Linked DNA regions of Macaca mulatta. Each later gene encodes a partner of the first gene's protein in a complex. Links are inferred from orthologs where the notes say so. Each region holds a gene or a part of one and is shown in the gene's direction. Other genes may lie near its edges.

Region 1 (9,939 bases):
GCAGCCCCCGGGTCCAGCGTGGCCACCACATTGCCAAAGTCCACTGGGCCCAGGGGCGTCGAGGCTGTGAAGGGATCCAGCTCCACGTGCCAACCTGCTGTCAGGGACCGCAGCGTGGCCTCCAGGAACTAGCGGCAAGAGAGAGGTGGGAGGGTGGACGGGGACTGGGGAGGAGGTGGGGAGAAGGGCCACGTGACCTGAGCCATGTAGAGCAGATGGGTTGACTCTAAAGTCCCACTCTGATTTAATGGATTTCTTTCTTTTTTATCTTTTTCTTTTTTTTTTTTTTTTGAGACAGAGTCTCGCTCTGTCACCCAGAAGGGAGTGTAGTGGCGCGATCTTGGCTCACTGCAAGCTCCGCCTCCTGGGTTCACGCCATTCTCCTGCCTCAGTCTCCTGAGTAGCTGGAACTACAGGTGCCCGCCACCATGCCCGGCTAATTTTTTGTATTTTTAGTAGAGACAGGGTTTCACCGTGTCAGCCAGGATGGTCTTGATCTCCTGACCTCGTGATCTGCCTGCTTCGGCCTCCCAAAGTGCTGGGATTACAGGCGTGAGCCACCGTGCCTGGCCTCTTTTTTTCTTTTTCTTTTTGAGATGGAGTCTTGCTCTGTCACCCAGGCTGGAGTGCAGTGGCTCGATCTCAGCTCACTGCAACCTCCGCCTCCTGGCTTCAAGTGATTTCTCCTGACTCAGCCTCCCGAGTAGCTGGGGTTACAGGCCCCCCCCACAACACCTGGCTATTTTTTGTACTTTTAGAAGAGATGAGGTTTCACAATGTTGGCCAGCCTGGTATCAAATTCCTGACCTCAAGTGATCTGCCTGCTTCAGCCTCCCAAAGTGCTGGGACTATAGGTGTGAGCCACTGTGCCCAGTCCCCTACTGTGATTAAAATCATTCCCTTGACAGTCCTGGTGAGTACCTACTGGGTGCCAGATGTTGGGGTGACCCCGCCTCTTGAAGCCAACAAGACTCATCACAGCTTACCCTTTTTTTTTTTTTTTTTTTTTTTTGAGACAGAGTCTCGCTCTGTCGCCCAGGCTGGAGTGCAGTGGCGCAATCTCGGCTCACTGCAAGCTCCGCCTCCCGGGTTCACGCCATTCTCCTGCCTCAGCCTCCTGAGTAGCTGGGACTACAGGCGCCCGCCACCGCGCCCGGCTAATTTTTTGTATTTTTAGTAGAAACGGGGTTTCACCGTGGTCTCTATCTCCTGACCTTGTGATCCGCCCGCCTCGGCCTCCCAAAGTGCTGGGATTACAGGCGTGAGCCACCGCGCCCGGCATAGCTTACCCTTAAATAGCTCTCACTGTGTGCTAAGCTCTCTTCTCGGAACCATAAAGGGGAGGGACTGCCGATACATGATCCCATTTTGCAGATGAGGAAATGGGCTCAGAGAGGTTAAGAAACTAGTTCGGGCTGGGCGCGGTGGCTCACGCCTGTAGTCCCAGAACTTTGGGGGTCTGAGGCAGGTGGATCACGAGGTCAGGCGTTCAACACCAGCCTGGCCAACATAGTGAAACCCCGTCTCTACTAAAAATACAAAAAAATTAGCCAGACGTGGTGGCGGGCACCTGTAATCCCAGCTACTCAGGAGGTTGAGGCAGGAGAATCACTTGAACCTGGTAAGTGGAGGTTGCCGTGAGCCGAGATTGCGCCACTGCACTCCAACCCAAGCAACAGTGTGAGACTCCGTCTCAAAAAAAAAAAAAAGAAAAGAAAAGAGAAAAGAAACAAGTCCAAGGTCACAATCTAAGTGGATGAGGTCGCACTGGGACTCAGGCAGTATTTAAATGACTCTTTTTTTTTTTTTTTTTTGAGATGGAGTCTTGCTCTGTCACCCATGCTGGGGTGCAGTGGAGCAATCTCAGCTCACTGAAGCCTCCGCCTCCCGGGTTCAAGTGATTCTCGTGCCTCAGCCTCCCAAGTAGCTGCGACTACAGTTACCCACCACCACGCCTGGCTAATTTTGTATTTTTAGTAGAGATGGGGTTTCACGATGTTGGCCAGGCTGGTCTCAAATTCCTGACCTCAAGTGATCTGCCTGTCTTGACCTCCCAAAGTGCTAGGATTACAGGTGTGAGCTGCTGTGCCTGGCCTTTAAATGACTCACATTACAGCACCAGGTTGGAGCCAACCTGCTTGGGTTCAACTCTAGGTCTATGATTTTCTAAACATTGGGTCTCACTATGTTGACTAGGCTAGTCTCGAAGTTCTCAGATGATTCCCCCACCTTGGCTTCCCAAAGTGCTGGGATTACAGGCATGAGCCAGTGCACCAGGCTAAGGTCTACTATTTATTATCTGTAGGATTTGTGCAATGTGTATAACCTCTCTGAGCCTCAATTTCCCCATCTGCATAATGAAGATCATATTGGTACCCACCTTAAAGGGCTGTCTGTTGCCTATGCCTAGCACATAGTAAGCTTTTGGTGGGGGCATTAAGGGGGGCAGTACAGCCTGGTGGTTTGTTTTCAGCATGGGAGTCTAGAGTCCGATTAACTCCAGTCATTGCCCCAGTTCCTCCTCTTAGCTCCTTTGGGATCTTGAACAGGATGCTTATTTCCCATTCCCTGGAGGGCTAGGGGGTCAGGGACTGGAGGTGGGTCCCTTTACCTTTCTGACTTGGAGATTTCCCGGGCTGCCTGGGGTTCGCACAACCAGCAGGGGGCGCAGATAAGTGCCCCAGAGACGCTGTGGGTCCAGTTGTCCCACCACCCTCCGCAGCCGGGCTTCGGGAAGGCTTCCGATCAACGGGACCTTGGGAAGGAGGTGGGATAGGGAAGGGAAGAATGAGAGCAACCCACCATTTCATCCCTACCCCGGGCGCCGTCACCCACAAGCAGCCCCGGGTCCTCTTTCTAATTTGCGGCCTCCAGCATCGGAGACTTCTAGGATAAATCCAAGGCTCAGAAAAAGTCCTTCCAAGACCATCCGGTCCAGCCTACCTCAAACTTGATGGGGAAATCGAGGCCCAGTGAGAGAGAGGGGAGATGGAGGAAGGGACTCTTCCAAATAGTTGACTAAAGGCGTAGAACCCTGAACCCCCTCGTCTTACTATTTCAGACCTTTCCTCATAAAAGGAAGCTACTGTTGTAAAACCAGCCCGAAGCCTTATTCCTTTGGTAAGGGTCATGCGCTCAGATGACGAAGACTGTGGCATCTGCGGTTAGGGCCGTACGCTAAAGCCAAGTCAACCCTGGGTAACAGCGGGGAGGGAATGAGGGTCCCCGCGGTGCCCGGGTCCCCGCCCAGCCTCACCCGCAGCTCCCGGCCCAGCGGCAGCTCCTCAGTCCTGCGGTGCCAGCCGCTCCAAATGGTGTAGAACGCCGAGCCCACGGCCAGCGCCAGCAACAGGGGCAAGAGCCGAACCCGCGGTAGCAGGCGGCGCTTCGGGGGCAAGAGTGGCTCCATAACGCCACGTTCCCCTAGCCGCAGGCGGGGCCGCCCGCGGCCCCCGGAACGCATGGCAGCTATGCCCTGAAACCTGTACCAGACCACGATTGAGTTTAGGCCCAGCCAAGTTCCACCCCATGGAATCAGTGGGCCAATAAGCAACAGCAGCGGCTGCACCTGCCCACCCCACAGCGAGCAGCGAAACCAATAAGAGCTACGGTCCTGAGGACACGCCTCCCGGCCTCCCTTGGGTATTGGGGTTGGTTCTTCTGAGAATGGCACGACCCAAAAGGGAGCGCAAAAGAGATAGGCTCCGCCTTAGCGGAGGGGGAAAGCCAATGAGCAGCGTTTGATCGTGGAAAATATTCAATCTCTCGGGCGCAGGTCCATGCCCCTCCCGGATGTAGGCAGGGGATTGGTGGCGCAGGGTCGGAAAGATCAGTAGATACGTCAATAACCCGTCCCAGAGGGAAGAGGGGCGGTGCCTGTCTCCGAAGCGAGGAGCGGATTGGCTTCAGCGGAGGCCGCGCCCCCGAAGTCACGGCCGGCGGGCATTTGGAAATAGTTTGTCATTTCCCTCCTTCAACCTGTACCATTCTTCAACGAAACGGTTTGAATCAGACCGCCTTTCCTTTTGTCTTCATTGTCATAAACATCTGCCCCGTGTGGTTCTGACTGGCCTCGAACCCCTATTCGAGGCTTTTATTCTTTCATTGTGCACCGTTGGTGGGCAATGCTATGGCAACAGGCCACGCCTCCACTTACTGGTTGGCTTTGCGCAGGCGCCAACGGAAGTGGGTCGCAGGAAGAGGAAGTCCCGCCTCTCTCGCCTCAGGCTGCAGCAACGCGGAGGAAACGGGAGTGAACGGAGAGCTTAGTGACCATCATGTGAGGCCGGGCTAGGCTTAGGCGGCGGGAAGGAGGTTGAGGGTGGAAATTTTGACCTATTGAGGGTGGGAAGGGTTGAGCAGAGAGCGGGGTGGGGGACAGGGGCAGATGTTTTAGGGATGGAGCGTCCTGCTTTTCTCCTGATGAGTTTGAGAACGGGCGTGGGGCCTTTGACGCATCGTGACTTCGGGAGAGGGGACAGCTTTATCAGATAACGCGCTGGGCTGGGCGCGGGGACTCATGCCTGTGATCCCAGCATTTTAGTAGGCCAAGGCGGGAGCATCGCTAGAACACAGGAGTTTCGAGACTACTCTAGGCAACATAGCGAGACCCCCGTCTCTACAAAAAAAAATTTTTTTTAATTATGAAAAACATATTTTAAACGATAACGGAGGGGGGTCCTAGATAATTAGTCCTATTGAAGTGAATGTTAAGGGGCAGCGATTTTACGAATACTGGGGGAGGCCGGGCGCGGTGGCTCAGGTTTGTAAATCCCGGCACTTTGGGAGGCCGAGGCGGGCAGATCACCTGAGGTCAGGAGTTTGAGACCAGCCTGGCCATTGTGGTGAAACCCCGTGTCTACCAAAAATACAAAAATTAGCCAGAAGTAGTGTCGGGCCCCTGTAATTCCAGCTACTTGGGAGGCTGAGGCCGGAGAATCGCTTGAACCCGGGAGACGGAGGTTGCAGTGAGCCGAGATTGCACCACTGCACACTTCCAGCCTGAGCGAAGAGTAAGACTCCATCTCAAAACGAAACAAAAGAAATCAAAACGAATACTGGGGAAGGGAAGTTAGGACTTTTAGAAATAATGATTTGAAATAAGGGACTTCTCCTGATCATTTGAGCTGGAGACAGATGCGTTTTCGACCTAATTCACAACTTAAAGGGATAACGAGTGATTGGCATGATTTTGCTCATTTATTAGTGCACCAAATATTACATTGAATGTTTATGTATCAGACACTGCTTAAGCCACATAGGATACATCAGTGAATGAAACCTTTTGTTCCCAAGGAAAAAAAAAATCTTTTTTTTTTTTTCCCGAGACATAGCCTTGCTCTGTTGCTCAGGCTGGAGTGCAATGGTGCGATCTCAGCTCACTGCAACCTCTGCCTCCCGAGTTGAAGCAATTCTCCTGCCTCAGCCTCCCGAGTTGCTAGGATTACAGGCACCCACCACCATGCCCAGCTGACTTTTATATTTTTAGTAGAGACCAGGTTTCGCCATGTTGGCCAACCTGGTCTCAAACTCCTGACCTCGAATGATCCACCTGCCTCGACCTTCCAAAGTGCTGGCATTACAGGCGTGAGCCACCGTGCCTGGCCGGGCGTGAGCCACCATGCCTGGCCGGGGTTTTACTTTCTACACTGAGATGGCGGGGGGGCATGGGAGGATTTTCTTTTGTTTGTTTGAGATGGAATCTCGCTCTGTCACCCAGATTGGAGTGTAGTAGCACGATCTCTGTCTCCTGGGTTCAAGTGATCTTCTTGCCTCAGCCTCCCAAGTAGCTAGGATTACAAGCATGCGCCACCATGCCCAGCGACTTTTTTTTTGGGGGTGGGGGATGGAGTCTTACTCTGTAACCCAAGCTGGAGTGCAGTGGTGTAATCTTGGCTCACTGCAACCTTCGCTGCTGGGGCTACAGCGATTCTCCTGCGTCATCCTCCTAAGTAGCTGGGACTAGAGGCATGCGCCACCACACCTCGTTAATTTTTTTGTATTTTTAGTAGAGACAGGGTTTCACCATGTTGCCCTGGGTGGTCTGGAACTCCTGAGCTCAGGCGATCCACCCCCCTTGGCCTCCCAAAGTGCTGGGATTACAGGCGTGAGCCATCACATGCAGCCTAATTTTTGTATTTTCTAATTTGTATTTATTTATTTTTTGAGACAGAGTCTCGCTCTGTTGCCCAGGCTGGAGTGCAGTGGCATGATCTCGCTTCACTGCAATCTCCGACTCCTGAGCTCAAGCGATTCTTCTGCCAGAACCTACCAAGTAGCTGAGATTACAGGCGTGCACCACCACGCCTGGCTAATTTTTTGTTGTTGTTTTTGTTTTGTTTGTATTTTTAGTAGAGATGGGTTTTCACCGTGTTGGCCAGGCTGGTCTCGAACTCCTGACGTCAAGTGATCCACCCGCCTTGTGAATCATCACCAGCTGGATGCCTAACAGACATTTTCTTTTTTTTTCTTTTCTTTTTTTTTTTTTTTTTTTTTGAGACGGAGTCTTGCTCTGTTGCCAGGGTGGAGTGCAGTGGCGCGATCTCAGCTCACCGCAACCTCTGCACCACAAAAGTGCTAGGATTACAGGCATGAGCTACCGTACCCAGCCCCTGGGAGGGCTTTGAAGAGTGACATGTTATGATTTAGGTTTTAGCACAGCCCCTCAGACCACTCTGTGGAGAACAGACTGTCAGGGAACATGGGTGGAGGCAGAGAGACCGGAAAGATTCCAGGTCAGAGATGACAGAGGCTGAGGCCATGGTAAGAAATGGCCACTTCCTACAGATTTATTGTAGGATGCAAGGGAAAAAGAGGAATCAAGTTGACAAAGAGTTTTTGCCCAGAGAACTAGAAGGCAGATGGGGAACACTGTGGATAGGGTAGGCTTCGGTGGTTGGGTGATCTGGATCCCGACCTGAGACATGCAGAGTTGAAAATGTCTGGCTGAGCGCGGTGGCTCACACCTGTAATCTCAGCACTTCGGGAGGTCGAGGCGGGTGGATCACGAGGTCAGGAAATCAAGACCATCCTGGCCAACGTGGTGAAACCCACTGTCTACTAAAAATACAAAAATTAGCTGGGCGTGGAGGTGGCGCGCGCCTGTAGTCCCAGCTACTCAGGAGGCTGAGGCAGGAGAATCGCTTGAACCCAGGAGGCAGAGGTTGCAGTGAGCTGAGATCGTGCCTCTGCACTCTAGCCTGGCAACAGAGCAAGACTCTGTCTCAAAAAAAAAAAAAAAAGAAAAGAAAAAGAAAATGTCTGTTAGGCATCCAGCTGGTGATACTCAGAAGGCCAAACAGGACGGATGTGATGGGACAAGGCTGGGGAGACATTGAGGCTGAGGCCCTGACCACCCATCCTCACAGCTCCAGCCTCTCTCACTTGTGGGTTCCATGTTTATCCATGCAGGAGCCTCCTCAACAAGCCCAAGAGTGAGATGACCCCAGAGGAGCTGCAGAAGCGAGAGGAGGAGGAATTTAACACGGGTCCACTCTCTGTGCTCACTCAGTCAGTCAAGAACAACACCCAAGTGCTCATCAACTGTCGCAACAATAAGAAACTCCTGGGCCGTGTGAAGGCCTTCGATAGGTGAGTGCTGGGTCCTGGGAGGTGTTCTGTGCAGGCCTAGAGAGGCTGCCCTAGCTCCAGTCTGAAGAGCTCAAAGACAGGTTTCTCAGACGCCTGGGGTGTATGGCCCAGGGTGGTGGCTCATGCCTGTAATTCCAGCACTTTGGGAGGCCAAGGCGGGTGGATCACCTGAGGTCAGGAGTTCGAGACTAGCCTGGCTAACATGGTGAAACGGCATCTCTATTAAAAATATAAAAACCGGGCGTGGTGGTGCACACCTGTATTCACAGCTACTCAGGAGGCCGAGGCACGAGAATTGCCTGAACCCAGGAGGCAGAGGTTGCGGCGAGCTGAAATCGCACCACTGCACTCCAGCCTGGGCAACAGAGCGACACTCTGTCTCAAAAAAAAAAAAGAAAAAAAAAGATAATATTCAACGACCTTGTGAGGAAGGTACTGTGATTGTCTTCCCTCTTAAAGATGAACAAACTGGCACAGAGAGGTGCAGTCCTTTGCCTCAGCCTCAACCTAAGGACTGGCAGAATTGGCCTTGGCAGCTTGGTCATCCAGCCTAGCACCTGCATCCTTCCCCAAGCCATGCTGCTGGAGGGGGCGAGCAGCAGGCAGCGCTGTCAGAGGCACCCCCCTCACACCCAGTGCCTCCCCTCCCTGTTCCCCACCAGGCACTGCAACATGGTGCTGGAGAACGTGAAGGAGATGTGGACTGAGGTCCCTAAGAGCGGCAAGGGCAAGAAGAAATCCAAGCCAGTCAACAAAGACCGCTACATCTCCAAGATGTTCCTGCGTGGGGACTCGGTCATCGTGGTCCTGCGGAACCCGCTCATCGCCGGCAAGTAGGGGCTGCCTATCCATCGACAGAACTCACTCTCTCGTCCTATGAAGACCATTGCCATTGGTGTTGAGAATAATAAAGCTCTGTGGTTTTTTTCTAGTGGTATGTGTTCCCAGAGCCTTGTGAGTGGGGTGGATTCAGGAGGGCTTGGGGGAGGCAGCTAATATCAAATTGAATGCTGGGACCAGGACCCGTGAGCAAGTGGAGAGGCCCTGGCTCTGCCCCATCGAGGCCTCACTTTCCCCCTCCGCAAAGCAAACAGGTTGGATGGAAATGAGCACCCAGTTGTGGCACTGGAGAATATTTTAGTTCTCCTGCTTTAATCTTTCTGAGCTTCGCCTTGTCACTCTGTTGCTCTCTTCTCTGCCTCTTAAAATGAATTGGCCTCGCTTGACCAAAATATCTTTTGGGGCCAGGCATGGTGGCTCACGCCTGTAATCCCAGTAGTTTGGGAGGCTGAGGCGGGCAAATCACCTGACATCGGGAATTCAAGACCAGCCTGGCCAACATGGTGAAATGCTGTCTCTACTAAAAATACAAAGATTGGCCAGGCGCAGTGGCTCACGCCTGTAATCCCAGCACTTTGGGAGGCCAAGGCGGGTGGATCACCTGAGCTCAGGAGTTCGAGACCAGCCTGGCCAACGTGGCGAAACCCCGTCTCTACTAAAAATACAAAATTAGCCAGGCATGGTGGCGTACACCTGTGGTCCCAGCTACTTGGGAGGCTGAAGCAGGAGGATAGCTTGAACCAGGAGACAGAGGTTGCACTGAGCTGAGGTTGCACCACTGCACTTCAGCCTGGGCAACAGATTCTAAGACTCCCTCTCAAAAAGAAAAAAAAAAGAGAAGAAAGCAGTCAGTAGCTAAATATTACTGCTAGTGATCCTGACTGACACTTGCTGAGCTGTTTAGGTATCAGGCCAGGCTTAACACTTTTCAAACATCCTCCCAACAGCTCTGGGGTGGGCCTGTTAATTTATTCTCCCCCTTTTCCAGAAGAAGGAACTGAGACACAGAGAGACGATGTCACTTTCCAGGGGCAAACCAGCCAGGAAGTGGTGGTACTGTGATTTAAACTCACCTCCTGAGCCTGTGGCTTCACCCCTGAGCTTTGCTGCCCCTCAAATTCAACTGCATTACCCTTGAGAGGAATTCTCTGACAAATATGGGGAGATAGATGGAGGTGGGAAAGGGAGGCGGGGAGGTGGTATATATATTGGGGGGGAGATAAGGAAGTTCCCTGTGTTGCTCTGACACACACATCGTGTGTTCCCCATATCTTTGTGGGGTTTTTTTTTTTTTTTTTTTTTTTTTTTGAGACAGGGTCTCATTCTGTCTGCCAAGCTGGAGTGCAGCGGCACAATCATGGCTCACTGTAGCCTTGACCCCCCCAGGCTCAAGTGATCCTCCTGCCAGCTTTTTGTAGAGATGGGATTTCGCTATGTTACCCAGACTGGTCTTGAACTCCTGGGCTCAAGTGATCCTCCTGCCTCGGCCTCCCAAAGTGGTGGGATTAC
Region 2 (9,939 bases), on another chromosome or scaffold:
TTTTTTTTTCTCTTTTTTCTTTTTTTTTTGAGAGGGAGTCTTGCTCTGTCGCCCAGGCTGGAGTGCAGTGGCGGGATCTCGGCTCACTGCAAGCTCCGCCTCCCGGGTTCACGCTATTCTCCTGTCTCAGCCTCCTGAGTAGCTGGGACTACAGGCGCCCGCCACCTCGCCCGGCTAGTTTTTTTGTATTTTTTTAGTAGAGACAGGGTTTCACCGGGTTAGCCAGGATGGTCTCGATCTCCTGACCTCGTGATCCGCCCATCTCGGCCTCCCAAAGTGCTGGGATTACAGGTTTGAGCCACCGCGCCCGGCCCAAAAAATTTTAAAATTAGCTGGACATGGTGGCACAGGCCTGTGGTCCAAGCCACTCAGGAGGCAGAGGTGGGAGGATCCCTTGAGCCAGGAAGTTCAAGGTTGCAGTGAGCTGTGATCACACCACTGCACTCCAGCCTGGGTGAGAGACCTTATTCCCCGCCCCCCCCCAAAAAAAAGGTATCAATGGGTGTTCTGCACAGGAAACTTTGATCTCACCTGCTCCTAGGCAGAATAGCAATCATCTCTGGGCAGAATTCCTTCACTAAATATTTCTTGAGTATCTACTGTGTGCCAGAGACTGGGCAGAGGTAAAACCTACCAAGGGCTGAGAATTCTACCCCAAGAAGGAGGGCCCCTCCCTGAGGCCTTAAGAAGGGAAAAGACGGCCGGGCGCATTGGCTCAAGCCTGTAATCCCAGCACTTTGGGAGGCTGAGACGGGCGGATCACGAGGTCAGGAGATCGAAACCATCCTGGCTAACACGGTGAAACCCCGTCTCTATTAAGAAATACAAAAAACTAGCCGGGCGAGGTGGCGGGCGCCTGTAGTCCCAGCTACTCGGGAGGCTGAGGCCGGAGAATGGCATGAACCCGGGAGGCGGAGCTTGCAGTGAGCTGAGATCCGGCCACTGCACTCCAGCCTGGGCGACAGAGCGAGACTCCGTCTCAAAAAAAAAAAAAAAAAAAAAAAAAAAAAAAAGGGAAAAGACTGGCGGGGCATGGTGGCTCATGCCTATAATCCCAGCACTTTGAGAGGCTGAGGCAGGTGGATCACGAGGTCAAGATATTGAGACCGTCCTGGCCAACATGGTGAAACGCCGTCTCTGCTAAAAATACAAAAATTAGCTGGGCACAGTGGTGCGTGCTGGTAATCCCAGCTACTCGGGAGGCTGAGGCAGGAGAATCACTTGAACCCGGGAGGCAGAGGTTGCAGTGAGCCGAGATCGCCACTGCACTCCAGCCTGGCAACAGAGCTAGACTCCGTCTCAAAAAAAAAAAAAAAAAAAAAAAAAAAGGGAGAAGACCAATGAGGGAGGATGGGATGGTCCATCGATTCTGCAATCCCCACTTAGCTGACGGCCTGCGAACCTCTAGAGGTGGTCTGGGGCAGTTCCCGGGCAGGGAGGATGGAGCTTACTTCCATTCTCCCTATTTCTGGGCTCCTATTTGCTGCTCTGTCCAGCAAGAGGCAGAAAAACTCCTTGGGCACCCTGGGGTGACATGCACTTCCCAGGCTGCGGAGGCTCCCAATAGAAGCCAAAGGGCTTTGGTGAGGGTCCTCGGGCCTAGGCACACAGACTAAGGTCGAAACTCCTGCGTCAGAGGATGTGCATAGGGCAGGGGCTGACCACAAGGACCTGAAACCTCAGAGGTGAGGCCTGCTTCCAATGGGGCTGCAGCTGGCTGGAGCGTGTAGGCCACTCTGCCTTCACCCAGGCCCAGGACTTAAGATATGGTCCTTGCCTTTGTCAACCTTAATAGGAGAGGCTCTCTCAAAGAAAATAGTATCTATTTGGGCATAGGGCATTGCAAAGGTAGTATCCATGCCATAGTAAACTATATGGGTATTCAGGGAGGTAAAGAAAGAAAGGCTTTAAGGGAAAAAATAGGATTACATAATTGTTTTGAGATAATTATCCTTAGGTAGAAGAATTAGTAACAAGGGTGACCAGTTCAACGTTGGACAGGAAAGTTGCTGGGCAGATGGCCATTCAAAAGTATGTTTTGTGCAAGGTTGGGGTTTTTGCAGAATCTTTGTGATAGTTTTCATTATCAGATATTTATGCATGAGAACCCTCTTGTCATGGTTTTCTCCGACTCTGTCCGGGTTTTTTTGTTCTGTTTTTTTAACACAAGTGACTCCAATTAGATTAACAACTTTTGCATTCTCAGGACACTCACAGCCTAAGCCACCTCTCTACCCCTACGTTGTCAAACGCGATGGGAGTGTAGTAAGGCCACCTCCTTCCCTGGTGCTTTGTTCCCTGTAACCACGAGTAGTAATCCATCACACACCTGCTTCCCGAGAATCCTCGAGAAGGAATCGGCCGAAGGGCTTCAGCATCCAGAAAGCCCCGAAAGCGCCACAAACAAGGCTCTTCCTCCGGCTCCCCGGTGCTGCCCCGGGCGCGCGCCATCCACCCGGCTGACAAAAAGCACCAGGACATGACCCCGTCCCCTTTGATTTCTGTCCAGAGGTGGCGGACTCACCTCGGGGCTGGGATAGAGGACGGGTCGGGGTCGCTACGCTTTTTGCAAAAGGGTCAAAAGACTGATGGGGGTGGGTAAGGAGCTGACGCCCGCGCTCTAAAGGGGCGCCCCGCCAGCCATGGGGATCCTGGAGGTGCTTCTGCCTCGACGTCCTCCCAACATGGGTGCTGCCAGACTCCGTTGCGCTCCTGAGTTGCTCCTCACGTCATTCCAGCCGCCCGACATGGGTGCCTCACTTTCGGCTTCTGGGCCACGTCGGGGCGGCGGAGGACCCGGGGGGCCGGGCGGGAGAGTGGGAAAGGTGGGGCGGGAAAGCCGAGAGAGGCCCTCACCCGCCTTCCTGTTGGCGGGGGCGGCAAGTGGGTTTCTTTCTTGCGTTCAGATTTTGCAATAATTTGCAGCTGGACATAGGATATGGGAGACAAGGCTGCTCCTCGCAGTACACCCACCCACGCCCATACCTCCCTCGGCGAAGCGTGTCGCAGCGGGTTCCAGCGCAGGCTAAAGAGCTTCCGCAGCCAGAAAACCGAAAGCGCGCCGCGCACGCGCGCCAAGGAGTTCGGCGACGGCCCCGCCCTTCGCCTGCCTCGTCCCGCCCCTTCCGCGCCTTGTAGGGTGGGGACAGCGCGGCTTCCGCCGGGAGCCTGGAACCGAGCCCGGCAGCCGGGGGCTGGGCGCCAGTACCCACTCCGCCAGCCCCAGCCCGCAGACGGTTCCCTGTCTCCCGCGCCCCAATTTCGATTTTCAGACCCAACTCCTACAGGATTCTGAGACCCCGGCCCATCTCCCCACATTCCATTTCCAGCTGCAAATTACTGCAGAGTCTGAACCCAAGAAAGAAACCCGTTTGCCGTCCCCGCGTCTTCCCTCGCCAGACAGGTGGAGAGTGGGTGAGGGTCTCGCTCGGCTTTCCCCCTGCACCTTTCCCACCCGCCCGCCCGTCCCTGGGGGTCCTCCGTCACGCCGGCCATGGCCCAGAAGCCGAAGTTGGACCCCCACGTCGGGCGTTTGGGATACCTGCAGGCGCTGGTCACGGAATTCCAGGAGACCCAGAGCCAAGGTGAGAGCCACGGTGGGACCAGGTGACAGGGTCGGCTGTGACCGCCGCCCGGACCTGGCTCCAGTGCCGCTTTCCCGTTGCAGACGCCAAGGAGCAAGTCCTCGCCAACCTCGCCAACTTCGCTTATGACCCCAGCAACTACGAGTATCTGCGGCAGCTGCAGGTCCTGGATTTATTTCTCGATTCGCTGTCGGAGGAGAACGAGACCCTGGTGGAGTTTGCTATTGGTAAGGGCTGGGCCCGTTCGCTAGATGGCTAAATGGGCCGGGGTGAGGTAAGTGAGTTACAAGTGAGTCCTTGGGGCCTGGCGTGGTGGCTCACACATGTAATCCCAGCACTTTGGGAAGCCGAGGCGGGGGGATCACCTGAGGTCAGGAGTTCGAGACCAGCCTGGCCAACATGGCAAAACCTCGTCTCTACTAAAAGTACAAAAATTAGCTGGGCATGGTGGCGAGTGCCTGTAATCCCAGCTAAGCGGGAGCAAAAATTAGCCGCACACAGTGGTGTGCACCTGTAGGCCCAGCTACTCTGGAGGCCGAAGCAGGAGGATTGCTTGAGTCCGGGAGGCAGAGGCCAAAGTGAGCTGAGACTGCGCCACTGCACTCCAGCCTGGGCGACGGAGTGAGACCATGTCTCAAAAAAAGATGTTTTAAAAAGAGCAGTTTTGTAGCCAGGCGCGGTGGCACACGCCTGTAATCCCAGCACTTTGGGAGCCCGAGGCAGGCGGATCACCTGAGATCAGGAGTTCGAGACCAGTCTGGCCAACATGATGAAACCCCGTCTCTAACTAAAAATACAAAAATTAGCCGGGCGTGGCGGGCGCCTGTAATCCCAGCTACTCGGGAGGCTGAGGCAGGAGAATCACTTGAACCCGGTAGGCAGAGGTTGCTGTGAGCCGAGATGGCGCCACTGCACCCCAGCCTGGGCAACAGCGAGACTCCGTCTCAAAAAAAAAAACAACAACAATTTCAGGTGGGTGAGGTGGCTCACACCTGTAATGTCAGCACTTTGGGCGGCCGAAGCAGGCAGATCACTTGAGTCCCGGAGTTCAAGACCGGCCTGGCAAAAGCCCATCTCTGCTAAAAAAAAAAAAAAAAAAAAAAAAATTAGTCTGGCGTGGTGTCCCAGCTACTCAGGAGGCTGAGGTGGGAGGATTGCTTGAGCCTGGAGGACGAGGCTGCAGTGAGCTGGGATTGGGCCACTGTACTCCAGCCTGGGTGACAGAACGAGAATCTGTCTTAGAAACAAAAGTAACTCATATTTAGTGTTTTCATATCAGGAGAAGCAGAGATGGCTTGCAGTCTGTAACTTACGGCTTCTTTTGTAGTTATGATCTTAAGACCTATTGATTTATTCACTGGGCAGATATTTACTGGGCATGTACCGTATATGTAAACTACTGCTCTAAATGCTGGAGTATGGTGAACAAGTTAGGGGAAGTGTTTGCCCCTCAGGAGCTTACATTCTAGTAGGGGGGACAGGTGGTTAGCAAACAAAAAAGATGATGCTCAGCAGCAAATAAATGGGGTGATGAGAAACAGCAGTAGAAGGTGGTGGTTACTTCTGTTTTGGCCATCATGAGAAAGGCATTTTAGCAGGGACACAGCATGGGCAAAGGCCTTAAAACAGGAAGGAGCCAGAAGGAAGATGAATGTGGCAGGATCGTTATAGTGAAGTGGAGAATGGCACAAAAAGAGGATAGAGAGTTAAGCAGCACCAGAGCTTGCCGGAGCTTAGATCTAGGCCGTGGGAAATAGTTTGAAGCAGACAAAATTTTGAGAACAAACAAAAATCCCTTTTTCAAGCCATGCACAGTGCTCATCTGTAGCCCCAGATAGGAGGATCGCTTGAGCCCAGGAGTTTGAGGCTGTAGTGTGCTACGATTGCATGATTGCACCTGTAAATAGCCACCGCACTCCAGCCTGGGCAACACGCGCGTGATCACCTGGCTGAAGTCTTGTCAGGCTTCTCCACTGTAAAATTACTCTTTCTTTCCCCTCTTTACGTATTATGTATTATACCCATTGGAAGGAAGTCACTACATAAATTATCTTAAATCTTTTTCTTTTTTTTGAGATAGGGTCTCACTGTGTCACTTAGGCTGGAGTACAGTGGTGTGATCATAGTTCACCATAAATTTAAACTTCTGGGCTCTAGCAGTCTTCCTGCCTTAGCCTCCCGAGTAGCTGTGACTACAGGTGGACACCACCATGCCCGGCTTTTTTTTGTTTTTAATTTGTTTTCGAGAGGATCTCACTGTGTTGCCCAGACTGGTCTCGAACTCGGCTTTTTTTTTTTTTTTTTTTAATTTGTTGTCGACACACGGTCTCACCGTCTTGCCCAGACTGGTCTTGAACTCCTGGCCCCAAGAGATAAATCGCTTGTAACCCTAAACAGACCCTCATTTCATAACACTGATTCTTGAAGGCCCCAACCAGGAATGCAAATGTTCCCCCTTCCGGTTTGTCTCATTGCCTCTTTGTGGTTTGTTTCTTTATCCCCTTTATTTCCTATAATCTAGAAATTGGGTTGAAAGTCTTGATAGGATCAAGTAACACATTTTATTTTATTTTATTTTATTTATTTATTTATTTATTTATTTTTTGAGACGGAGTTCGCTCTGTCGCCCAGGCTGGAGTGCAGTGGCGCGATCTCGGCTCACTGCAAGCTCCGCCTCCCGGGTTCACGCCATTCTCCTGCCTCAGCCTCCCGAGTAGCTGGGACTACAGGCGCCCACAACCGCGCCTGGCTAATTTTTTGTATTTTTAGTAGAGACGGGGTTTCACCGTGGTCTCGATCTCCTGACCTTGTGATCCGCCCGCCTCGGCCTCCCAAAGTGCTGGGATTACAGGCGTGAGCCACCGCGCCCGGCTATTTTATTTTATTTTATTTTTTGAGATGGAGTCTTGCTCTGTCACCCAGGCTGGAATGTGGTGGTGCGATCTCAGCTCACTGCAACCTCTGCCTCCTGGGTTCAAGCAATTCTCCTGCTTCAACCTCCCGAGCAGGTGGGATTACAGGCGCCCGCCACCATGCCTGGCTAATTTTTGTGTTTTTAGTAGAGATGGGGTTTCATCATGTTGGCCAGGCTGGCCTCAAACTCCTGACCTCAGGTGATCCGCCCGCCTCAGCCTCCCAAAGTGCTGGGGTTACAGTCGTGAGCCACCACGCCTGGCCCAAGTAACACATTTTTAAAAATACATTATTATAAGTATGATTCAAATTTTTCAAAGACCACCCAGGTCTCCTCTAAAGAGGAGAGGAGAGGAGGTTCCTGGGACTAGACTACAAATGAGGGTCTTCTCTCCATGAGGGGGCTCCAGCACATGTGTGGGCAGATTCACACCCCCACAGACAGCTGCCCCTTGGCCACTCCCTGGGTTTGGAAGTGCACACACCAACGGTGGCATTCACCCTTGGGAGTCAGGATCCAGGAAAGAGGCCCATGCGGCTGTGGGAGCGGGTTTAGGGCCTGGAGCTCCAGGTACAGGGGAAGGGCGGCCCTGGGCTTTGGGTGAGTTCCCTGGACTTACTGCCCTGCAGAGGACCAGAGTGGGGCCTGCTAAAGGCAAGCCAGCGCAGGAGCCCTAGTTGCCCAGGTCCCCGAGTGATGCCAGCTCCTCTAGAAGATTATTATGCCAAACAAATATTCTAAAAAGTTGGTCTCTAAAATGTCCTCTGTCCCCTCCCTTTTCATGCCTCTGCCCCACACACAGCTGCTGCTTTCTGAATGGTGACTGTGGCCCCTGCAGATGCATGTGGCTAAACCTCCACCAGGGGGCAATAGAGCTCCTCCAAATCAAGCCGCTGACCCTGGAGAAAAATTGGCGGAAGTCACAGAGCAGTCCCCACAAAAAATGTTTACCAAGTGGGGTCTTTCCTGCTGGCGTTTCCTCAGGGTCAGGAAGCAACTTTCCCAGGACAGGGGTACCCTGAGGTCCGGGTCCACTGAGCTATGGGGGCGGCGTGAGCCTGGCCTGGGTTCTTGCCACCCTGGGCAGCTTCCCCGCGTGGGTGACTGAGCCCCAGCGTCTCCACTTTTCAGCTGATTCCTAGCTGACTCCCGTCCCTTCTCCGAGCGTGGTTTCCTCACCTGCCTTGCCTGCCTCGCAGGTGGTTGTGGGAGCAGAAGTGTGGGTGTGTGTGTCTGTGCATCTGCGCCTCTGTGCTGTTACTTTATCTAGAATTGTTGGGATCATTATCACCAGTTTTACTTTTCCCAACCGTTTTTTCCTCCTTTTTTTCTCTTCTTCTGCCAGAGCAAGCCCCGCCCCGCCCCAAGCACGGTAGCTTTCTCAGCATGGAATCCCTCCGTGGGACCCTCTGCAGATGAAATTTCTCGTATATTTATTATGCATAACTGAGAAGGAGAGCCCCCGCGTATTTTCTTACTGGCATCGTTTCCCTTTCTCTTAGTGTCTCTGCTTGGGGATCCCCGACAGGCACTTATTCTGCTGTTTCCGGAGAAGGCTCCGTGCTGCGCTTTGGAGCTTTGAGTCTTTTATCCCCTGTGGCAGCCCTGAGATTGTGACTTCCCTGAGCCCGAGCCGGCCTTGCTTCTGTCTGCATGGTTTGAGTGCTTAGGCCTTTTGGCCTAGGGAGGAGGAGAGAAGGGGAAGGAAAAGCAAGGGATCTTCACTTAGTAAGTGTAGAGTCCTGGCCATGACTTGGTGCAGCACCCCTAAGCAGGGTTGGTTCAGGTGGCTCACACCTGTAATCCCAGCACTTTGGGAGGCCGAGGCGGGTGGATCACTTAAGGTCAGTTTGAGACCAGCCTGGCCAACATGGCAAAACCCCGTCTCTACTAAAAATACAAAAATTAACTGAGCATGGTGGCGCGCACCTGTAGTCCCAGCTGCTTGGAAGCTGAGGCAGAAGAGTCACTTGAACCAGGAGACAGAGATTTCAGTGAGCCAAGGTCACGCCACTGCACTCCAGCCTGGGTGACAGAGTGAGACTGTCTCTTAAAAAGAACCAAAACCCATATCTGCTTGGTTGAGCAGGGTGGTTCATACCTGTAATCCCAGCATTCTGGGAGGCTGAAGCAAGAGGATTGCGTGAGTCCCCAGGAGTTCGGGAGGAGCCTGGGCAACATAGCAAAACCCTGTCCCTACAAAAACAAACAAAACAAATGTCTGCTTGTTGGCAAACAGCACAGTGAGTTGGACGAGAGCTGGGCTTTGGGGTCAGGCAGGCATCTGGGTGTGGGCTCTTCTCCAATCATCTGTCAGATGGGGACAGTGCCAGCAGCTGCTTCACATCGAGAGAATTGAATGAAGCACTACAGTGCTCTTTTAGGGTCAGTGTCTGCAGCCTTCGACAGGATCCCCTTGGTCGCCATCCAAGACAAATGATACCCAAAACCCTTTGAGGGTGAGCAGTCGCCCCTTCTCCCAGAGTGGTGAGGTGGGGGATGGGATAACGTCTTATCAAGGGAACCACTCATCTGCTCCAGGAATTCTTTTTTTTTTTTTTTTTTTTTTTTTGAGACGGAGTCTCGCTCTGCTGCCCAGGCTGGAGTGCAGTGGCCGGATCTCAGCTCACTGCAAGCTCCGCCTCCTGGGTTTACGCCATTCTCCTGCCTCAGCCTCCCAAGTAGCTGGGACTACAGGCGCCCGCCACGTCGCCCGGCTATTTTTTTTTTTTTTTTTTTGTATTTTTAGTAGAGACGGGGTTTCACCGTGTTAGCCAGGATGGTCTCGATCTCCTGACCTCGTGATCCGCCCGTCTCGGCCTCCCAAAGTGCTGGAATTACAGGCTTGAGCCACCGCGCCCGGCCCTGCTCCAGGAATTCTTACCTTCTGGAAGAACATCACGGAATGACAGGAACGCCGATCCTCAGCCTCCCAGAGGGTGCCCAGGCAATGTTAGGTGGGGAGAGCCTGGCTGCTGGCCCGGTACTGTTGTGTCCCCATCACGGATGGCATTAGCTCACACTTTGGGAGCACCCACTGGGTGCCAGGCGCTTGCTTCTTGTGCATTAGAGATAGTACTGAAGTAGATGTGCTTACACTGCCTTCTTTCCAATCAGGACTTTGAGGCTTAGGGAGGTTCCGTGGGCTGGCCAAAGGTTTAAAGAGTACCAGATCTAGGCCGGGCGCAGTGGCTCATGCTTGTAATCCCAGCACTTTGGGAGGCCAAGGTGGGCAGATCACCAGAGGTCGGGAGTTTGAGACCAACCTGACCAACATGGAGAAACCCCATCTCTACTAAAAATACAATTAGCTGGGCGCGGTGGTACGCACCTATAATCCCAGCTACTCGGGAGGCTGAGGCAGGAGAATCGCTTGAACCCAGGAAGCAGGGTTGAGGTGAGCCAAGATCGCACCATTGCACTCCAGCCTGGGCAACAAGA
Region 3 (9,939 bases), on another chromosome or scaffold:
TATGTGAGGGGAGGTTCTGGTGGCTGGGGGAGAGGAAAATGATGGGGGATGAACCAGGAACTCGGCACTGACATGTCAAAAGGGGTCTGGGAAGCTGCGCATGGGTTTCACGCAGGACAAGCAGGTGACATGAGAAAGGGCAGTTGAAGTGTCCACTAGACTGGAAGTGCCATGAGGACTGACTACATCAGCTGGGTTCACTGCAACATCCCATACCTGTCAACTAGTAGACACGAAATTATTTCTAGAATGAATGACAACGAATGAATAGAAGAAAAGGGTTAAAATATTGCAGAGGACACTTCGAGTTGAAGGATTCTAGGATTTAGAAGCCTGCGCCATGCAGGCAGCTAGGTAGTATATGACACACAACCCATGTGGCTAATCCAGGGATATGTACTTCAAGAGTTGGGGCTATGAATAGTAAATCTGAAATTACTGCAAAATGAAGTAACTATGTACAAGAGTCGGTTTCCTGGAAAAGGTTCTCTGAAAGACAATGGATTTTATATCACTGGGCGCAGTGGCTTACGCCTGTAATCCCAGCACTTTGGGAGGCCGAGGCAGGTGGATCATGAGGTCAGGAGATCGAGACCATCCTGGCTAACACGGTGAAACCCCATCTCTACTAAAAATACAAAAAAATACAAAAAGCAGGCCGGGCGCGGTGGCTCAAGCCTGTAATCCCAGCACTTTGGGAGGCCGAGATGGGCGGATCACGAGGTCAGGAGATCGAGACCATCCTGGCTAACACAGTGAAACCCCGTCTCTACTAAGAAATACAAAAAATAGCCGGGCGAGGTGGCAGCGCCTGTAGTCCCAGCTACTCGGGCGGCTGAGGCTGGAGAATGGCCTGAACCCGGGAGGCGGAGCTTGCAGTGAGCTGAGATCCGGCCACTGCACTCCAGCCTGGGCTACAGAGCGAGACTCCGTCTCAAAAAAAAAAAAAAAAAAAAAAAAAAAATACAAAAAGCTAGCCGGACATGGTGGCAGGCACCTGTAGTCCCAGTTACTCAGGAGGCTGAGGCGAGAGAATGGCGTGAACCCAGGAGGTGGAGCTTGCAGTGAGCCGAGATCGCGCCACTGCACTCCAGCCTGGGCGACAGAGCGAGATTCCATCTCAAAAAAAAAAAAGGTTTAAAAAGCCTTGATAATGCATGGCTTTGGTGCCCATATAGTTGATATTCGGGATTTTCCCATTTCAAAGAGTATCTTATACAAATGTGGAACATCAATATTTTATTCATCAGGTATTTTTATTTGTTAGTTGTTAGCTCTCCAGGCTAAGAAAGATATGGTTGAATAGTTAGAGTCCTTCTACCACTATAAGTTGCTACTCTCAGACTGGTCAGAGGAGGCTCCAGGCCTTTACTATAAAACAAAATGTATCAGACAAATTGATCTTAAGCATATGCCAAAGGGTTTCAATTTACTAGCAAGAGAACGAGCCCAGTGTCAAAAGACAGCCAGTTGGGAGGAAGTCTGGGAAGGGAAGGAAACAGAATGATTATATTAGCAGCCTGTTAGGTAAAGGTCTTAATAAGTTTCCAGTTGTGACCCAGGAAAACAGAGTTAGGAAGCTCTGAGATGCCAGGAGTGCCCACAGTCCATCTCAGAAACAGAAAACAATGCATTCAAGAAGTCAGGCCAGGCGTGGTGCCTCACGCCTGTAATCCTAACACTTTGGGAGGCCAAGGCGGGTGGATTGCCTGAGCTGAGGAGTTCGAGACCAGCCTGGGCAACACGGTGAAACCCCGTCTCTACTAAAATACAAAAAATTAGCTGGATGTGGTGGCACGTGCCTGTAGTCGCAGGTACTCAGGAAGCAGAGGCAGGAGAATCGCTTGAACCTGAGAGGTGGAGGTTGCAGTGGGCCAAGATCACGCCACTGTACTCCAGCCTGGGCGACAGAGTGAGACTCTGAGACTCCCTCTCCAAAAAAAAAAAAAAAAAAAAAAAAAAGTCAGTGATGTAGATCCACTTGTGACTATTAATAAGAACAATGTTTCATTTCCTAACAGTAATGCCTGGTAACTGCAATTAATCATAAAAGTGTGATGCAAGGTCAAACAAATCAGACAGCAGAGCATCAAGAGACAAATTCAGCTTTTTTTTTTTTTTTTTTTTTTGAGGCATAGTCTTGGTCTGTCGCCTAGATTGGAGAGCCTGATCTCGGCTCACTGCAATCTCTGGCTCCTGGGCTGAAGAGATTCTCCTGTCTCAGGCCCGGCGCGGTGGCTCACACCTGTAATCCCAGCACTTTGGGAGGCTGAGGCAGGCAGATCATGAGGTCAGGAGTTCGGGACCAGCCTGACCAACATGGTAAAATCCCGTCTCTACTAAAAATACAAAAGTAAGCAGGGCGTGATGGCACGTGCCTATTGCGCCTGTAATCCCAGCTACTCCAGAGGCTGAGGCAGGAGAATCACTTGAACCTGGGAGGCGGAGGTTGCAGTGAGCCAAGATCGTGCCTCTGCACTCCAGTCTGGGCAACAGAGCAAGACTCCGTCTCCAAAAAAATAAAAATAAAAAATAAAAGATTCTCTTGTCTCAGCCTCCAGAGTAGCTGGGACTACAGATGCACACCTCCACACCTGGCTAATTTTTTGTAGAGATGGCAGGGTCTCACCATGTTGCCCAGGCTGGTCTCAAACCCCTGTTCTCAAGAGATCCTCCTGCCTCAGCCTCCCAAAGTGCTGGGATTATAGGAAGAGCCACTGCACCTGGCCTTGCTTACTTTTAAATAAGCAGCCACCAGTGATTTTCTCAAGATGTTAGCAAAAATGCAGAAAACAGTTTGCCTGTTCCTTAGTTTGGAGATTTTGTCTTTAACAATTTTCCTGGGCTGGGCGCGGTGGCTCAAGCCTGTAATCCCAGCACTTTGGGAGGCCGAGACGGGCGGATCACAAGGTCAGGAGATCGAGACCATCCTGGTTAATACGGTGAAACCCCGTCTCTACGAAAAAGTACAAAAAACTAGCCGGGCGAGGTGGCGGGCGCCTGTAGTCCCAGCTACTTGGGAGGCTGAGGCAGGAGAATGGCGTGAACCCGGGAGGCGGAGCTTGCAGTGAGCTGAGATCCGGCCACTGTGCTCCAGCCTGGGTGACAGAGCGAGACTCCGTCTCAAAAAAAAAAAAAAAAAAAAAAAAAAAAAAAAAAAAAATTTTCCCCAGTTCCCCAGTTTCTTCCTGCCTAGAGGTCTTCCCTTATGCCTGACCTGTCTTCACTCCTGCTGCAGGCAAACCAATCCTAGCAAAGGTCACTTTTTTGTTTGTTTGAGACAGAGTCTTCCTCTGTCGCTCAGGCTGGAGTGCAGTGGTGGGATCTCGGTTCACTGCAAGCTCCGCTTCGCAGGTACAAACGATTCTCCTGCCTCAGCCTCCCGAGTACCTGGGGCTGCAGGCGCACGCCACCACACCCGGCTAATTTTTATATTTTTAGTAGAGACAGGGTTTAGCCATCTTGGCCAGGCTGGCCTCGAACTCCTGACCTCAAGTGATCTGCCCGTCTTGGCTTCCCAAAGTGCTGGGATTACAGGCGTGAGCCACCGCGCCCGGCCAACACGGCTAATATGCTTCATGAGCATGGACCCCATCTTCCAATCTGAAATAGAATTTCGGTTGTCCCTTACTTTGCAGAGTTTTTGGCGCTATAAAACTTCCATACTTTATTTATTATGTATCCTGTCCCTCCCCCACCGCAAAATGTAAATTTGGTAAGGAACTTTTGATTTGTCCTCTGCTAGATCCCAGCGACGGAAAGCAATGAGCACACATTAGGCCTCCATTAAATTGATTTCACTTGTTGAATGAATGCGTTAGGGAAGCACTCACGGACTGACCATCAGGGGGCGTCAGAGAAACTGGATAGAGGCGGAAATGAAGAAAAAAGAATTACTCCGAACTTTCAGGCATGGTTCCGCGAGGTTTGAACTCGCTCGGCCACCGTAGTGCTTAGAGGCCGGAAAAAGTGCAGCCCCTTCCGGGCTTTGCGGTACCGGACGACGGCTTTGGGATGTCGGAAATTGATCCTAGAGGTCCCAAGGTAGCCGCCTTGCGAAGCTGAGGCTCCAGCCGAGGGCTCCAGGCCTCCGACTGGCCCAGCAGTGAACGGGGCTGCCCGACGCTTCAGGGCTGGGAGCAGGGAGCGTGGGTCGCCATGGCGACGCCGGCGGGGCTGGAGCGCTGGGTTCAGGACGAGCTGCACTCGGTGTTGGGGCTGAGCGAGCGGCACGTCGCCCAGTTCCTGATCGGTACTGCACAGCGCTGCACGTCGGCCGAGGAGTTCGTGCAGCGCCTACGAGACACTGATACTTTGGATCTCAGTGGGCCGGCCCGGGACTTCGCCCTGAGACTCTGGAACAAGGTGTCGGCAGGGTGGGGAGGGGTCCTGTGATTTGTCCCGATGAGGCTGGCCTAACGGTCCATCGAGGAGTTAAGAAAGCTCAGTTCACAAGCACTTATTCTTTGTCCGTTGTCGCCTAGGTACTGTGCTAGCTGCTGGACGCCCAGCTCAGTGGAGAAGATTGAGGAGGGCTTAGGTGTGTCGGGTTAAACGCAATAGAACGGTGTTTTTCGAACTCTTAACATGCATCCAGGGCCCTTGTTAAAATGCAGATTGCGATTCAGTAGGGATCTTAGTTTCTGCATTTCTTTCTTTTTCTTTCTTTCTTTCCTTTTTTTTTTTTTTTGAGAGACACAGCCTCGCTCGCCCTGTCGCCCAGGCTGGAGTGCGGTCATAAGATCACGGCTCACTACAGCGTCGATCTCCCTGGCTGAAGCGACCCTCCCATCTCATCTTCCCCAGTAGCTGGGACTATGGGCATGCGCCACCACCCCCGGCTAATATCTTTCATTTTTATTTTTATTTTTAGAGACGAGGCCTTGGTGTGTTGCGCAGGCTGGTCTCTAACTCCTCAGCTCAAGCAGTCCTCCTCTCTCAGCCCCGCAAAGTGCTGGGATTACAGGCGTGAGCCACCTTGCCCGTCCCCCCTCAGCTTCTGAACTTCCTTTCAGCCGTTTAATTAACAGAGGAGGCCCGGTGCAGTGGCTCACACCTGTAATCCCAGCACCCCAGAAGGCTGAGGCAGGAGGATCATTTGAGCCCAGGAGTTCGAGACCAGCCTGGGCAACATAGTGAAACCTCCCTACAAAAAATTTAAAAATTAATTGGGCGTTGTAGTGTGCACCTGTGTTTCCAGCTACTTAGGAGCCTGAGGTGGGAGGATCACTTGAGCCCAAGAGGGACAGAGTGAAACCCTGTCTGTAAAAAAAGCCAAAAAGCTGTGGGCCCCATTCAGGATGATAAACATGGGGTGAAGCCATGAGGAAGACAGAATGAAGGCTGGTTAGCTGGTTTAAAACTAAGTAATTGTGCCCGGGTGCGGTGGCTCACGCCTGTAATCCCAGCACTTTGGGAGGCCCAGGCAACTGGATCATGAGGTCAGGAGTTTGAGACCAACCTGGCCAACATGGTGAAACCTCATCTCTACTAAAAATACAGAAATTAGTCAGGTGTGGTGGCAGGCGCCTGTAATCCCAGCTACTTGGGAGGCTGAGGCAGGAGAATTGCTTGAACCTAGGAGGTGGAGGTTGAAGTGAGCCGAGATCACACCATTGCACTCCAGCTCCGGGTGACAGACCAAGACTCCATCTCGGCGGGCGGGGGGAGACTAAGTAATTGCTTAAATTAGGAACAGAGCTAGAGCTAAGTGGGAGGGCAGAGATCAGGAGTTGCTCAGACCTCCTTATCTTCCCCTCTACTGACAGGTACCACGAAAGGCAGTGGTAGAAAAGCCAGCGCGGGCAGCAGAGCGAGAGGCCCGAGCCCTGCTGGAGAAGAACCGATCTTATAGGTTGTTGGAAGACAGTGAAGAGAGCAGTGAGGAGACTGTGAGTAGGGCTGGAAGCAGCCTCCAGAAGAAACGTAAAAAGCGGAAACACCTCAGGAAGAAGCGTGAGGAAGAGGAGGAAGAAGAGGAGGAAGAGGCTTCTGAGAAAGGGAAGAAGAAAACAGGGTAAGTCAGAAGCAGGGCGAGGGAGGATGGGGCAGGCTGAAGTGTGCTCGATGCCCTTATTTAATCCCCTGGATGGGCTGCAGGGGGAGTAAACAGCAGACAGAGAAGCCAGAGTCAGAAGATGAGTGGGAACGGACAGAGCGTGAGCGCCTTCAGGACCTGGAGGAGCGTGATGCCTTTGCTGAGAGGGTTCGACAGCGGGACAAGGATCGGACTCGAAATGTCCTGGAGCGGTCAGACAAGAAGGTGAACAGGAGCAGCACGTTCTGTAAATCCCCAAGATCCCAGGGTGAAATGTGAGGTTGGCTGTGATTGCAGAGATGGTGATCTCTGGGAAGACAAGGGGCTTTCTCTAGTGAGATGTTCACCTCTGTGGGGAGAGATGAGGTGAGAGAAGCCCTGTGCATCCTGTGGCTAAGGCAACTCTCTACTGTATCTGCAATCGTACAGATCCCTCACTGAGAGGGGACATTTTTTGTGTTAGGGTACATCTGAATGATCCTTGTGATTCTAAAGAGGAGCAGCTGTCAGTGTGGGGGCTCTTTGGCCTCACACCCCTCCATTCTTGTTTTTTTTTTTTTTCTAGGCTTATGAAGAAGCTCAGAAGCGCCTCAAGATGGCCGAGGAGGACCGGAAGGCCATGGTGAGTCCCAGGGCCCAGGGAGCCAAGATCAGAAGACAAAAGGGAAGACCGTCTGATAGAGTGGTTACGTATAGGGAGAGAGAATACAGAGGAAGCACGGTGTGGATGCTGATGGAGTGGTCAGGTCTCTAGAGGAGGGGCTTGGTTGTCAGGAGCCAGCTGAGGACAGACTTATGTTGTCGAGGGAAGGAGCCCTCTTAAGTTGTAGGGGAAAGGAGGCTACCCATAAGTCCTCCTTGACTCTTAACTTTAGGATCAAACATACTCTATTAGTGAATGAAGTTGTGAGCTTTCCCTATTCCTGAGTCCTAATGAGATGTGAGGCAGCTGGAATGTTGTCAAGAAGGTTGCTGGAGGACAAGGGCAGGGCGGCAGTCCCACTGTACAGGAATATGCTAACCATTCAGCTTAGGTACACCATCTCCAAATACCTTCCCACCACCTAATTCTTGCACCCCTTATATGGCTTTGTGATCTCCCTGTGTCTTCTCACTGGACAGGGGCAGAGCCCTCATAATTCATAAACTGGATTTTTTATGGTATGAAACTAGGTAGGGTAAGCTGTTTTCCAAAGGCCTGGTCTTGTCAAGTAAAGTCACACTTAGATTCCCCAATAGAATTTTGAGACACTTCGAGCTCCTTTTTTTTTTCTTACCTTTTTTCTTTTTTTTGAAATGGAGAGGGGCACACGCTGTCCTGTCGCCCAGGATGGAGTGCAATGACGCGATCTCGGCTCACTGCAACCTCTGCCTCCCGGGTAGCTGGGATTACAGAAGCACACCACCACACCTGGCTAATTTTTTTTTATCTTTAGTAGAGACGAGGTTTCACCGTGTTGGCCAGGGTGGTCTCGAACCCCTGACCTTGTGATCCACCCACCTTGGCCTCCCAAAGAGCTGGAATTATAAGCGTGAGCCACCGTGCCCTGCCTTCTTTTTGTTTGTTTTATTTTTAATTTTTATTTATTTATTTATTTTTGAGGTGGAGTCTCACTCTGTTGCCAGGCTGGAGTGTGGTGGCGTGATCTCAGCTCACTGTAACCTCTGCCTCCCTGGTGGAGGAATCAAGTGATTCTCCTGCCTCAGCCTCCCGAGTAGCTGGGACTACAGACCCGCACCACCACACTCGGCTAATTTTTTGTATTCTTAGTAGAGAGGGGGTTTCATCATGTTGGCCAGGATGGTCTTGATCTCTTGACTTTGTGATCTGCCCGCCTTGGCCTTCCAAAGTGTTGGGATTACAGGCCTGAGCCACCACGCCTGGCCCTTTTTACTTTTTAAATTTTATTTATTTATTTATTTATTTATTTTTATTTATTTTTTTGAGACGGAGTCTCTCTCTGTCCCCAAGGCTGGAGTGCATAAGTGTGATCTTGGCTCGCTACAAGCTCCGCCTCCCGGGTTCATCCCAATCTCCTGCCTCAGCCTCCCGAGTAGCTGGGACTACAGGCGCCTGCCACCACGCCCGGCTAATGTGTTTTGTATTTTTTTAGTAGAGACAGGGTTTCACCGTGTTAGCCAGGATGATCTTGATCTCCTGACCTCGTGATCCGACCACCTCGGCCTCCCAAAGTGCTAGGATTACAGGCGTGAGCCACCACACCCAGCCTTTTATTTATTTATTTTTTTGAGACAGAGTTTTGCACTTGTTGCCCAGGCTGGAGTACAATGGCGTGATCTTGGCTCACTGCAACCTCTGCCTCCCAGGTTCAAGCGATTCTCCTGCCTCATCTTCCAGAGTAGCTGGGATTATAGGCATGAGCTATCTCGCCTGGCTAATTCTGTGGAGACAGGGTTTCTCCATGTCGGTCAGGCTGGTCTTGAACTCCTGACTTCAGGTGATCCACCTGCCTCGGCTTCCCAAAGTGCTAGGATTACAGGCGTGAGCCACCGTGTGCCTGGCCTACTCTTGGAGGTCTCTCCTGACCAATTTATCTCATATCTCTTCCTGAAATTGACTGTGGTTAGGCTTCTGAGACATCTCAATGCAGTTGTAGTGGTGGTGGTGGTGGTACTGTTTTGGCCTGAATTTAATTTTTCTTTTTTTTTCTTTCTTTTTTTTTTCTTGAGACGGAGTCTCGTTCTGTTGCCCAGGCTGGAGTGCAGTGGCATGATCTCAGCTCACTGCAACCTCTGCCTCCCGGGTTCAAGTGATTCTCCTGCCTCAACCTCCCAAGTAGCTGGGACTACAGACATCCACCAGCATGCCCGGCTTACTTTTGTATGTTTAGTAGAGACGCAGTTTCGCCATGTTGGCCAGTCTGATCTCAAACTCCTGACCTTAGGTGATCCATCCCCCTCGGCCTCCCAAAGTGTTAGGATTACAGGCGTGAGCCACTGTGCCCAGCTGTAATTTTTCTTTTTCAATTACAAAAATATTTAAGCACATAGGGAAGTTGAAAGAATAGAAAAAAGAACACTCATATACACTATTCAGTTTGAAAAATGGTTAATACTGTGGGCAATATTTGCATTGTCTTTGTAAATGTGGTATGTTCTTTTCAGATCATTTAAAAGAGTCTTAGACATCATAGCATTTTATCTCTAAGTACATCAGTATGTACCTGCTAAGGATAAAGACATTGTCCTCTAAAATCAGAATGCTCTTGTCACAGTCAGGAAGTTGAACAGCAATTCTTACGTATCGACTAAGATCTCTGTACAAACAAAGATTCCCTCATTACCCCCAAAATAACTTTAATGACTGCTTTTTCCTAACAATGCAGTCAAGGTTCATGCATTGCATTTGGTTATTAGATTTTAAGTTTGTTTCTCTTTCTCTCTGTCTCACCTTGCAGTGTCCTACATTCTGGATTTGTCTGATCCTTATCTTATGGTGTTAAGTACTTCTCTGCCCTGTGCTTTCTTTAAAGCGGCAATTGGGTCTAAAGCTTGTCTACACTCAGATTAAACAGTTGTGGCAGGAACACTTCTTGGGCGGTGATGTGCACTTCATATTATGTCATATCACGGGGACATACTATCCAGTTGTGTATCTATTAGTATTGATATCCTTTCTACCAATAGCCTTTCATCGAATGCTTTTAGCAGCCACTGGTAATCCTTTCCTGAACATGTTATTTTGTTGGGGATTGCAAAATGGTGATTTTTTGATTCTGTCATTCCTGTTACATGTATTGGCTAGAATTTGTCTATAAAGAAGAGCTTTTCCTTAACAACTAGGAACAAGCTACAGTTCCTTCTTAAAAACCAGGGTAAATGTTTGTTTCCTTTTAAATACCAACTTTTAGAGTAAGGAGTTTGGTGTAACAGTCATTTCA

The links.
Region 2: SNRPD2 (region 1) and ARMC7 share a complex: the UniProt entries of both Homo sapiens proteins name them as parts of the minor spliceosome. The link is inferred for Macaca mulatta from reciprocal best matches to the Homo sapiens genes SNRPD2 and ARMC7.
Region 3: SNRPD2 (region 1) and DHX16 share a complex: the UniProt entries of both Homo sapiens proteins name them as parts of the minor spliceosome. The link is inferred for Macaca mulatta from reciprocal best matches to the Homo sapiens genes SNRPD2 and DHX16.

Annotation. Positions count from the first base shown.
Region 1 is NC_133424.1:58,223,642-58,233,580, reverse strand, and holds SNRPD2 (small nuclear ribonucleoprotein Sm D2), read left to right. Parts: upstream 1-4,173; 5' UTR 4,174-4,277; coding exon 4,278-4,279; exon of another isoform or gene 4,280-5,012; intron 5,013-5,488; exon of another isoform or gene 5,489-5,584; intron 5,585-6,104; exon of another isoform or gene 6,105-6,421; intron 6,422-6,648; exon of another isoform or gene 6,649-6,762; intron 6,763-7,275; exon of another isoform or gene 7,276-7,410; coding exon 7,411-7,590; intron 7,591-8,226; coding exon of another isoform or gene 8,227-8,252; coding exon 8,253-8,427; 3' UTR 8,428-8,527; downstream 8,528-9,939. Other genes in the region: QPCTL (glutaminyl-peptide cyclotransferase-like protein), read right to left, coding at 1-128, 2,612-2,755, 3,257-3,463. UniProt on the Homo sapiens protein: Plays a role in pre-mRNA splicing as a core component of the spliceosomal U1, U2, U4 and U5 small nuclear ribonucleoproteins (snRNPs), the building blocks of the spliceosome.
Region 2 is NC_133421.1:84,789,212-84,799,150, forward strand, and holds the start of ARMC7 (armadillo repeat-containing protein 7), read left to right. Parts: upstream 1-3,420; 5' UTR 3,421-3,493; coding exon 3,494-3,584; intron 3,585-3,667; coding exon 3,668-3,811; coding exon of another isoform or gene 3,812-3,843; exon of another isoform or gene 3,844-4,215; intron 4,216-4,516; exon of another isoform or gene 4,517-4,550; intron 4,551-6,739; exon of another isoform or gene 6,740-7,300; coding exon of another isoform or gene 7,301-7,314; exon of another isoform or gene 7,315-8,252; intron 8,253-8,358; exon of another isoform or gene 8,359-8,565; intron 8,566-9,939. UniProt on the Homo sapiens protein: As a component of the minor spliceosome, involved in the splicing of U12-type introns in pre-mRNAs.
Region 3 is NC_133409.1:152,370,477-152,380,415, forward strand, and holds the start of DHX16 (pre-mRNA-splicing factor ATP-dependent RNA helicase DHX16), read left to right. Parts: upstream 1-4,158; coding exon 4,159-4,365; intron 4,366-5,768; coding exon 5,769-6,016; intron 6,017-6,099; coding exon 6,100-6,262; intron 6,263-6,602; coding exon 6,603-6,659; intron 6,660-9,939. UniProt on the Homo sapiens protein: Required for pre-mRNA splicing as a component of the spliceosome. Contributes to pre-mRNA splicing after spliceosome formation and prior to the first transesterification reaction.